Linked DNA regions of Cricetulus griseus. The protein of the gene in region 3 interacts with the protein of the main gene of each other region in a biochemical or structural test. Links are inferred from orthologs where the notes say so. Each region holds a gene or a part of one and is shown on either strand. Other genes may lie near its edges.

Evidence for each region.
Region 1: the proteins of Cops5 (region 3) and Mif form a complex in vitro, tested with the Homo sapiens proteins (2 studies listed by BioGRID). The link is inferred for Cricetulus griseus from reciprocal best matches to the Homo sapiens genes COPS5 and MIF.
Region 2: of the proteins of Cops5 (region 3) and Cul4a, one has a biochemical effect on the other in vitro, tested with the Homo sapiens proteins (5 studies listed by BioGRID, with this or other methods). The link is inferred for Cricetulus griseus from reciprocal best matches to the Homo sapiens genes COPS5 and CUL4A.

What each region holds. Positions count from the first base shown.
Region 1 is NW_023276806.1:262,751,160-262,753,806, reverse strand, and holds Mif (macrophage migration inhibitory factor), read right to left. Parts: upstream 1,379-2,647; 5' UTR 1,276-1,378; coding exon 1,168-1,275; intron 978-1,167; coding exon 805-977; intron 690-804; coding exon 623-689; 3' UTR 501-622; downstream 1-500.
Region 2 is NW_023276807.1:67,672,686-67,676,643, forward strand, and holds the start of Cul4a (cullin-4A), read right to left. Parts: upstream 2,801-3,958; 5' UTR 2,773-2,800; coding exon 2,625-2,772; intron 2,336-2,624; coding exon 2,220-2,335; intron 1-2,219. Other genes in the region: Pcid2 (PCI domain-containing protein 2), read left to right, coding at 3,706-3,741. UniProt on the Homo sapiens protein: Core component of multiple cullin-RING-based E3 ubiquitin-protein ligase complexes which mediate the ubiquitination of target proteins. As a scaffold protein may contribute to catalysis through positioning of the substrate and the ubiquitin-conjugating enzyme.
Region 3 is NC_048595.1:150,146,014-150,149,513, reverse strand, and holds part of Cops5 (COP9 signalosome complex subunit 5), read right to left. Parts: coding exon 3,417-3,500; intron 1,862-3,416; coding exon 1,733-1,861; intron 72-1,732; coding exon 6-71; intron 1-5. UniProt on the Homo sapiens protein: Probable protease subunit of the COP9 signalosome complex (CSN), a complex involved in various cellular and developmental processes.

The sequences.
Region 1 (2,647 bases), on a different chromosome or scaffold from region 3:
AGATGTAAATCACATTGGACCTTTCTACCCTAACAAACATGAAAACAGACAAAGTACTCCATTCTCATGCATTCTCTAGGAACTACTGGGGAGTCGGGGGCTGTTTGCCTGAGAAGAACACAGGCAAAGAGTCTATCAATTTAATCCCCACCCTTCTCCTGCCTGAGCAACTCACTCTCCCATGAAAGCACATTGCCGTCCCATTTGCCACTGTGATTAAGAACACAGTTCGGGATTCCCGCCCAGAGCAGAGAACCTATTTCAGGATGCAACAACTGCTTGGGAAGTTCTGTATGACTGTTGGTCTGAGGCCCCAGTGAACCTCTTTTTGACGTAAGGCCACTATAGGAAAGCCTGGACGAAAGGACATCTAGACCACTGGTTTTGAGACAGCCAAACTGGCCAACTCCGACCCACCATCGCAGCCTGGGCTTCCATTCAATGTCCCCGCCCTGCACCAATTCCTCCGCAAGCCAAGGAAGCAGAAACTGAGGCAACCGTGGTCTCTAAACCATTTATTTCTCCCGATCGGAAGGTGGGCGTCGCCAGGGGTGGACGAAAACAGAACGCTGCGTGCAGCAAGGCTCCAAGAAACGGCGGCGCAGGTAAGTTAGGCCGGCACTCAAGCGAAGGTGGAGCCGTTCCAGCCCACGTTGGCCGCGCTCATGTCGTAATAATTGATGTAGATCCTGCGAGAATGAAAGCCTAGCTCAGCCTAACACGCGGTCTCGGCGAGCGTGGCGGCGCCCTCTGACCCCCGCGCCCACCTCCCAGCGCCCCTCACCCCACCCCACCCCCACGCACCGGTCCGGGCTGATGTGCAGGCGATCAGCCAGCAGGCCGCACAGCAGCTTGCTGTAGGTGCGGTTCTGCGCGCCGCCGATCTTGCCGATACTATGCAGGCTGCACAGGGCGCAGGGGTCGCTAGAGCCGCTAAAAGTCATGAGCTGGTCCGGGACCACGTGCACTGCGATGTACTGCGGGGGAGGGGTGGACGCGCGGTTAGCCCGCCTGAAAGACCACGGGGCCACAGGGCTCCGGGGAGCTCCAGCCTCCAGCCCTCCAGCCGCCCGCCGCGGTTCCCATCCCCATTCTTCCTCTGCCCGGCGGCCGGGCGCACGGGCCCTCCCTCCCCACTCTCTCTCTTCCTGTACCCTCCCTGCAAACCTGGGCCGGCTTGCCGGTGGCCTGCGCCAGCTGCTGGGTGAGCTCGGAGAGAAGCCCCTCTGGCACGGAGGCGCGGGGAACGTTGGTGTTCACGGTGAACATCGGCATGGTGGCGGAGGGGACTGCAAGCGGGGAGTAGAGGACAGTGCGACGCGGGATGTGGCCCAAGCCAGGGACCTGAGCTACGTGACCTAGTTCAGCACCGCCCCAAACCGGCTGCGGCTCCTCCCCTCGTCCCGCCTCCGCCTGCGTCAGGGTACGTCCTAAAGCGGGGACGTGACTGTGCTTCTGCTACGCTTGGTGTGCTTCTGCTCTTTGTTTTCTCGGATAGAAACGAAGAATGTATCATTTAGTAAATTAGGTAGCAAGGACTTGACTCTAGGATTAAGTTTGTGGAGGCATTTCAGGTAGACGCTGCAGATTAACGGTACACCGGGAGCAGGTTCAGGTCTGAGAAATTTCTGTTTCTGAGGAAACTTCAGCCCTTGATCGGTGCTGTAGGTAGTCATGTTGGCCTTATCTGGCCTGCCAATGGGCCAGAACCGACCGACTCTATTTAACTCCAAATAATGAACCAAAAGCGTGATGGTTTGTGCTTGGAGAAAGAACAATACTTGCCTTAGGAACTTCCTCTAAGCTAGTGAAATTGGCCGAGCCCCATTCCTTACTGTTTTGTACCAACAGTCAGACGTCGGTCCACTGGCTCAGTGCCACCTTCAACACAGCCACTTTCAACTAAGACTTTGTGTGTCCTGGGCCTCCCAGGACGTGTGTCCACACGACCTATGATCCTGCTCATGTAGGTCCTTCCTTGTAGATGGGGAAGGAGGCATAAAGGAGTCACCGTCCAGTTACTTGCCTGCATCCTTGCTGTTCCAACCAAGTGGGGATGCTTGGAGATCTCCAGGGGAGGCACAAGGAACTGGTTTTGAGCCAAAGGTACCAGTTCTGCTCCTCCTTAAGGTATAATCCTAAACTGGGCAACTGTCAGCCCTCAGGGAAGTGCTGCTCAAATTAGGTCCCAGCAATTACCCTCATTAAAGCCCTTGGTAGACTTTGTATAGCTTTCTCATGAACAAGCCAGACATCTGGCAGGTGCCCAGGAAATGTCACTGGGATCTTGGGTCTCCATGTGTTTTCCTAGCTTGCCTTTAAAAAAAAAAAAAAAAAAAAAAAAAAAAAAAAAATCCAACCAGTCAAAAGGATGCTGTGTGGGCAATGACAGTTTTGTCTTGTGACTTCAAGGTTTATATGAGGTTCTATAACGGTTCTGGCAGAAATGAAGATATTCTAAAGAGACACTTGTGTCCCTCCGTTTGGCTACCAGACTATTGAAACAATGGTTCCCAAGGAAATGGAATTTCCTCAGGAGTCTCAGGCTGGGGGAAAAGAAAGACTGAAGGCAGGTGCAGCCAAAGGAGGAACTTGTCTCCCTGGAAGAGATTTCACACAGCTCTGGAAGCTTGTCAGACCACCCTGC
Region 2 (3,958 bases), on a different chromosome or scaffold from region 3:
AACTGCAAAGCACTATTCCAAATAAAAGCCAGATAACAAGAGATGGCAAATGCAAGATTCCTTTTAGATAGAAATGGCAGAGTAACCCAGAGCAGAGTACTGGCTGCCAAGGGAGGAGATGGGGAAGGGATGGCTGCAAGGAGCTGTAGTTCTTTGTCAGGGATGGAAAAAGTCTACATTTTCAGGGGCGGGGGTGGCAAAACAACTGCATATTAGGCCATTAACATTTACTGGAACAAGCATGTTAGTGTAAGCCTGTAACCCCACAGGAAGATTACCTTGAGTTTGGGCAGCCTGGGCTACACAGTGAAACTCTTAAAAAATAAAGCCAGTCAATTCCCCTTACCCCGCTCCCCCCCCAAAAAAAAAACCTACTGGAGCACAAGTTATATGTAAATTACACTTCAAAAAAGCTGATTAAAAAATTATCGGGGCATGGTGGCACATTCAACCATGTGGAAAGCTGAGGCAGGAGGACTGCTGTAAGTTATACATAGGCTGGAATACATAGCAAGTAACTAAGTCAGCCAGCACTGTGTAGCAAGACTCTCACTCAAAGACAAAGTGAGTGGGGTAGAGGTCTGGAGAGATGGCTCAGTGGTTTAGAGTACATGAGGACCTGGGATTGGTTCCCAGTACCTATTTCAAGAGGCTCACAACCACTTACACCCAGGCTCTAGAGGTATCTAATACTTCTGGCCTCCAGGCCTGCCCCCAAACTTCATACCCACATACTTAAAATAATAAAAGTACATTGTCAGGCAGGTGAAGCCCTAATCCCAAAGCTCAGGAGCAAAGGCAGGTGGATCTCTGAGAGTTCAAGGCCACCTGATCTACATAGTGAATTCCAGACCAGCCAGGGCTATACAGTGAGACCCTGTCTAAACAAAATAAAAACCTTAAAAAAACCTTCACCCTCAATACACAATCAACTCACAAACTTAAGACAAAGAACGGACACATGTACCTCACTCTATCACTACAGGTTGGTCGCCCCTCACCCAAAATGCTTGGGACCAGCAGTGTTTTGGATTACAGATTTTTTTTTTCTCCTGGATTTGATACTTGAATATGCATAATGATTTATTTGGGGGAATGAGACTCAGGTCTAAACACAAAATTAATTCATATCTCATATACCCTGAACACAATTTGAAGGTCTGTTTTTATTTTTTTATTTTTACCATTGTGTGTGTGCATGATGCGTTATGTGTGGGTGCTTGTGCCACGGCTTGACTGGAGGCCAAAGGACATCCTCTCTGCAGTCAGTTTTCTTCTACCTTTCTGAGGGTTCTGAGGTTCGACCACTGGTTGCCAAGCTTGTTCGGCAAGAGCTTTACCCACTGAGTCATCTCACTGGCCCTAGCTTGAAGTAATTTTATACAACAGTTTTAGCATACATTGTGTTCTGTCTGAGTCCAGTCAGACGAGGTCAGCCGTGGATCTTTTTTCATGTGAGTGCTAAAAGTTTTGGATTGGGGAAGTTTTGGATCAGGAGTGCTCAACCTGTAACAATTTCCCTTGGGTACTACTGCTTACTTTTCTTTTTGTACTTTCTATAACTTACATAAATTCATTTTGTAACCAGGATAAAACAAACCGGTAAGTTCATGACTTTAGTGTAATTAATTATATATATGCTATATCATTACCTAAAACAGACTATTTAGTGAACATTACTGTATAAAACCACGACAGAAAAGTCTGCCTGAAAAAACAAGATGTACTTTTGGCCTTTTTTTTTTTTTCCTGCTGTAGACACTATCTTTAAATTAAAACTACCAGAATCTGCAAACCTTATTTGCAACAATTAAACCACAGTGTGTGTGGGGGGGGGAGAGACGACGACGACGACGACGACACAAGGATCCTCCTAGCATACTGAGTTTTATGTGTAACAATCTAACGTTCTGATAACACTGGAGATCACTGGAGCCCTGTGGCTCGCAGCCCCCACACCTCCTTTCTCCTGGGGATGGGAAAACTTACACCTAAGCAGCCCGATGTAAGCCTCAACATAGCACTCATCCAGGGCGACCATATACTGAAACACCTGCTGACCGAGGGCTTCGAGGCTTCCTCTAGGGAAGGCTCGGACCGCAGCCTCTCCCCCCATTCCCCCTCCCCCCCGGCAGGCGGGCCTCCCTAGCATCGGCGGCGACCGTGGCTGTGAGAGGAGGAAAACAGCCAGGTGCTCGCAGGCCCTCGCCGCCGCTCACCTGGTACAGCTCCTCCAGGTTGTACCTGATGGATGTGCTGCTCTGGATGGCCTTGACCGCTTCGTGAAGCTTCCGCCACGTGTCCTGAGTGTAGTTGTCAGGCAGCCGCGGCCTGTCTGTGGGGAGAGAGGGTCAACGGCCGCGCGGGGACAAGACAGGCCGGGGCACCGAGGCAGGGCCCAGCAGAGCCAGCCAGGAGGTGCGGGGTCAGGGCCAGCTGGGGCGCGGGGACGTGGCGGAGCATGAGGTGCGGGGACAAGTCAGGCTGGAGCGCCGGAACAGGACAGTGCGGGAACAAGGCGGGCTGGGGCGCGGGGACAGGGCCGGCTGGGCAGCCCCAGGAGGCCCTGTCCGAGCGCGCGACCTGACGGACGCCCCGTTCGCTCCTCACCGGAGCGCACCCACCTCGGAAGTTCTTGATGACCAGCTTCCTGGAGCCGCCCGCGCCCCCCGGCTTGGCAGGGCCACCGGCCAACGCCGCGGGCTTGGTGAGGCCGTTGGTGCGGCCCATGAGAGCCGAGACGCTGCCCTTCCGCGGGCCCTCGTCCGCCATGGCTGGGCCGGACGCCGCCCCGCCCCGCGCCGCCCGGCTCCTCCTCCTGCCCTGCGCCCGGTCCGTGCGCGCCCGGCTCCTCCTCCTCCTGTCGGGCTCCGCCCGTGAGCGCTCGGCTCCTCCTCCTGCTGCTCGCGGCCCGGTCCGCGCGCCCGAGGCCCAACCGCCGCGGCGCGCACCGGAATGATCCGGCTCGGGCGCGCGGACTCCGCCCAGTGAGGGCTCCGGCGTACGCGGCCGCGCCTGGAGGGTTCGGCACCCGCGGACGTTCTACGACGAATGCTCGCGAGAGGGCGCCGTGACACCCCGCACCGAGCGTTCCGGGAGCTTGGTGTTCGACGTCACGACGAGGGCTGGGGACACCCGGGAGACGTGGGCGAACAGGAGCACCCCACCACCCTGCCTCTGGGGCAGCCCCACACCTAGGGCTCAGGGATGCTCCGTGACAACCGGATACTCCACACCCGTTGCTCTGGGATGCCCCAGTGAGGGGGTGGGAGGACTCGGGGACATCTCCAGCGAGGGCTAGGAGAGCACGGGGACGTGTTCCCAAGTGGGGTTGACTTTTGTTCTGTGCACTTGAGGGTGTGCGAGCCGGGAGCGTCTCTGCAAAGTGAGGATCGAAGGGATGAGAGACACGGGGAGTCGCTAGGACACAGGACGTGATCGGGACGCGGGGATACGTTCCCAAGTCGGTTGGAACTCCTCCACGTCAGTCCCCCGTCCTTTGCTCACGCCCCCGCCCGAGCTGAGACACCTCAGTGACTGCACCCCGAGCACTGACAGCTCTAGGAGGGGAGTGCTCGGGCCAGCTTCGTTCAGTTTGCGCCACCGGTTCCGGAATCAAAAACGTGCGGGAAATACAGTGTAGGGACAAGGAGCTGAGACGGACCTGCGCCGGAAGTGAGGTGCTTAACGCCCGCGGCCGCTGCTATGGCGCACATCACCATTAACCAGTACCTACAGCAGGTGGGTTGCCCGGTATCCTTGTTTAGTGGCCACGAGGGTGGGTTCTGGGGCTGGGTCAGATAGGTCCGGGACCGGTGGAGGGGGGAGGTCTGCGGCTGCCTTTGAGGTGAAGAACGTTTGCTGCATGGGGCGGGCAGCAGGCTTTGCTCAAAAGTTGCAAGTGCTTCCCGCCGGATCTGGGACGGAGGAGGATTCGAGGTGGAGGTAGCAGAATCGA
Region 3 (3,500 bases):
ATTACCTTTGGATATGTCCTAAAGGCGCCAAGATTCACTTTTCCTGCAGATATTGTTCTGGTTGGGTCAATCTACAAAAGATATATACTTAATATTGATCAAACAAACCATATGCTCACTGAGTCAACACCCCAGAAAACTACAACAAAGTAAATATAGCACTATATACTAACCAAAATTAGAAAGTTCAATGAAATAGGAATACTTCAGTTAATTTATAGATTAGAATTAAGTTATCATATCACCAAAGAATATTTATTTAGTATCATTAAGATATTCATGCTACTTGGCAAGACCATGTTTTAAAACAAACTGGGCACAGGCCTTTAAGCTCAGCACTTGGGAAGCAGACGCGGTGGATCTCTGAATTCAAGGCCAGCCACCTGGTCTAAAGAGTGAGTTCCAGGACAGCCAGGGTTACAGAGAAAAGCCCTGTCTTGAAAAACCAAAACCACCAAGCCAAAACAAACAAGAAACCCAATCAGTCAATTAATCAATCAATCAATCAATCAATCAAAGTAATGAATTAACTGAGAAACTACCTGCCCCTACCTGACCCCTTTAATAGATGAATAATTGTTAGTTTCCTCTTAAAGATCCTAGATTGCATCTAAAACATTCTGGACATAAAAGTAGACAGGATCTAGCCATTTCTGCTTCTCCAGTCAACCCTAATTAAATGCCTATTAAGTGTTGAGAAGCTGACAAAGGTTCTACCCTCATCTATAGGAGTGAGAGATGCAAGGAGCTTAAGAACATCCTTAAGTACAGTGATGCCAGAGAGTCATTCTTACCACACTGTTTTAATTTTCCAGTAGTCTTTCTTTAGCAAATATTCTTGAAAAACTTAATAAAATCTGTTTTTATAAAAAACAAAACAAAACAAAACAAAAAGCTGGGCTGTGGTGGGTATGCTAGCACTTGGGAGGCAGAGACAGGAGGTTCTCTGTGAGTTTGAGGCCAGCCTGGTCTTCAAAGAAAGTTCCAGGACAGTCTCCAAAACCTACAGAGAAATCCTGTCTTGAAAAACAAACAAAAAACAAAAACAAAAACAAAGTAAGCCGGGTGTGGTGGGTATGCCTTTAATCTCAGCACTGAGGAGGCAGAGGCAGGTGGATCTCCAGGAGTTCCAGGCCAGCCTAGTCTACACATCCAGTTCCAGGACAGTCAGAGATGCATAACAGAGAGACCTGTGCCCAGAACAACAAAAATTAAATAAAGTTAAATCCAAAACCAAATTTTGAAGGGCTGGAGAGATAGCTCAGCAGTTAGGGGTACTTGCTGCTTTAGCAGAGAGACCTATGTTTGGTTCCCAGCACTCACATAGTGGCCTCCAACCACCTCTAACTCCAGGAGTTCTAGGGGACCCAATGCCCTCTTGTGGCCTCCATCGACACCAGCCATATGTGGTGCATATAGAGGAGGGGCATCAAATACCCTGAACTGGAGTTACAGATGGTTGCCAGCCTCTGTGGGGGGTGACAGGAATCAAATCAGGGTCCTTTGCAAAAGCAGAGACCCCATTTCTTTTTTTCTTTTCTTTTCTTTTTGGTTTTCGAGACAGGGTTTCTCTGTGTAGCTTCGGAGCCTATCCTGGCACTTGCTCTGGAGACCAGGCTGGCCTTGAACTCACAGAGATCTGCCTGCCTCTGCCTCCCGAGTGCTGGGATTAAAGGCGTGTGCCACCAATGCCTGGTGAGACCCCATTTCTTTAAAAAGAACAAGTACTTACCACCACAGCCACAAATGGTTCCTGGAACTGCTGGTTAAGCATCTGTGTACTAACATCAATTCCAGAGAGCCAGCAGCCGTAACCAGGGTGGCTATGATACCAGCCAATTGCGTTTTCAAGGCGTCCAACCTAAAATATGAAAGAAAAATCTTGTTTGAGGTATGGTTTAATCTCACAGAAAGTGTCATTTACAGGCTTTATGTAGTAACACTACATAAAGATAACATCGTGTAAAGATTTTCTGAATAGATGATACATGTGTACAGTGTAAAATTATCAAGGTACAAGAACAAGGGTATTTAGTCTCTTTCCCATATCCTTCCCCCTCCTCTACCTGTTTCTTAGCTTAGATATTATCCCTCTATTATCTTACGTACTCTTACAGAGATATTCTATAGATTAACAAACATATCTGTAAATAGTTGCATACTACATACAACATTCTACTCCTAGCTACCTATATTTTAAACTGAACAAACAATTCTGGAACTGTTCCATGTAAGTAAATACACAGATAGCTTTTTTTGAGGTATTATATAATTTTTTTTTCAGATTTTATTTGAATTAGAAACAAGATTGTCTTACATGACAATCCCAGTTCCCTCTCCCTCCTGTCCTCCCCTACCAACCTCCTCCAACCTTTCTGTTTCCCCTGGATGGTGAGGCCTTCCATAGGGTGTCATCAGAGTCCAGATAGCTTATTTTAAGAAACTAATTTATTTTTATTTTATTTTGGTGTTTTTCCTGCATCTTTATCTGGGTGAGGGTGTTGGGCCCTCTAGAACTGGACAGTTGCGAGCTGCCAGGCAGGTGCTGGGAACTGAACCTGTATCCTCTGGGAGAGCAGTCTTTGCTTTTAACCACTGAGCCATCTCTCCAGCCCTGATAGTTGCTTTTTTTTTTTTTTTTTTTTTTTTTTTTTTTTTTGAGACAGGGTTTCCTGTGTAGCCCTGGTTGTCCCAGAACTTGCTCTGTAGACCAGGTTGGCTTTGACTCAGAGATCTCCCTGCTGCTGCCTCCCAAGTGCTAGGACTTTAGGCAGTGCATTCACTTCCACTGCCTAAAGAGCTTTTTTTCTTTTCAAGCTTGCCTACATAGTACATTAATAGATGCCCTGCCATTTATTTAGCTGGGTTTCTACTGAGGAATAATTAATTCCTAAATTTCTTATTTATTAGTTCATTAATCCATTCATTTGTTTGAACTCAGGGCTTAGGAAGGCAGACATGAGCTCCACCACCAGTTACACCTCCAGTCTAACTTCTATTGTCTAAACACAACTGACACTGACTGGAAATTTATTTCAGAAAGACACCCTCTCCCCTGTCTGCCACTATCTATATTATAAATCTCACCAGACTTTTAATATTTTACATAAAATTGTTAAATTTAAAATATGAAATTGAATGTGAAAAGGACACTTTTAAGTTCAGAAACCCAGAATCTTGAGATTCTTAAGAGTTATTAAAGTTTTTTTTTAAAGATCTTATTTATTTATTATGTATACAACATTCTGCTTCCATGTATATCTGTACACCAGAAGAGGGTACCAGATTTCATAACGGATGGTTATGTGGTTGCTGGGAACCGAACTCAGGACCTCTGGAAGAGCAGTCAGTGCTCTTAACCTCTGAGCCATCTCTCCAGCCCGAGTTATTAAAAGTTTAAGCAACAATATTTTTACCTGTTTGGCATTTTCTATGTACGCAGCCATGTACTCATATGCAGCAGCCTGAGCATTTACTCGGGTCTCAGTGCCTTCTACAGG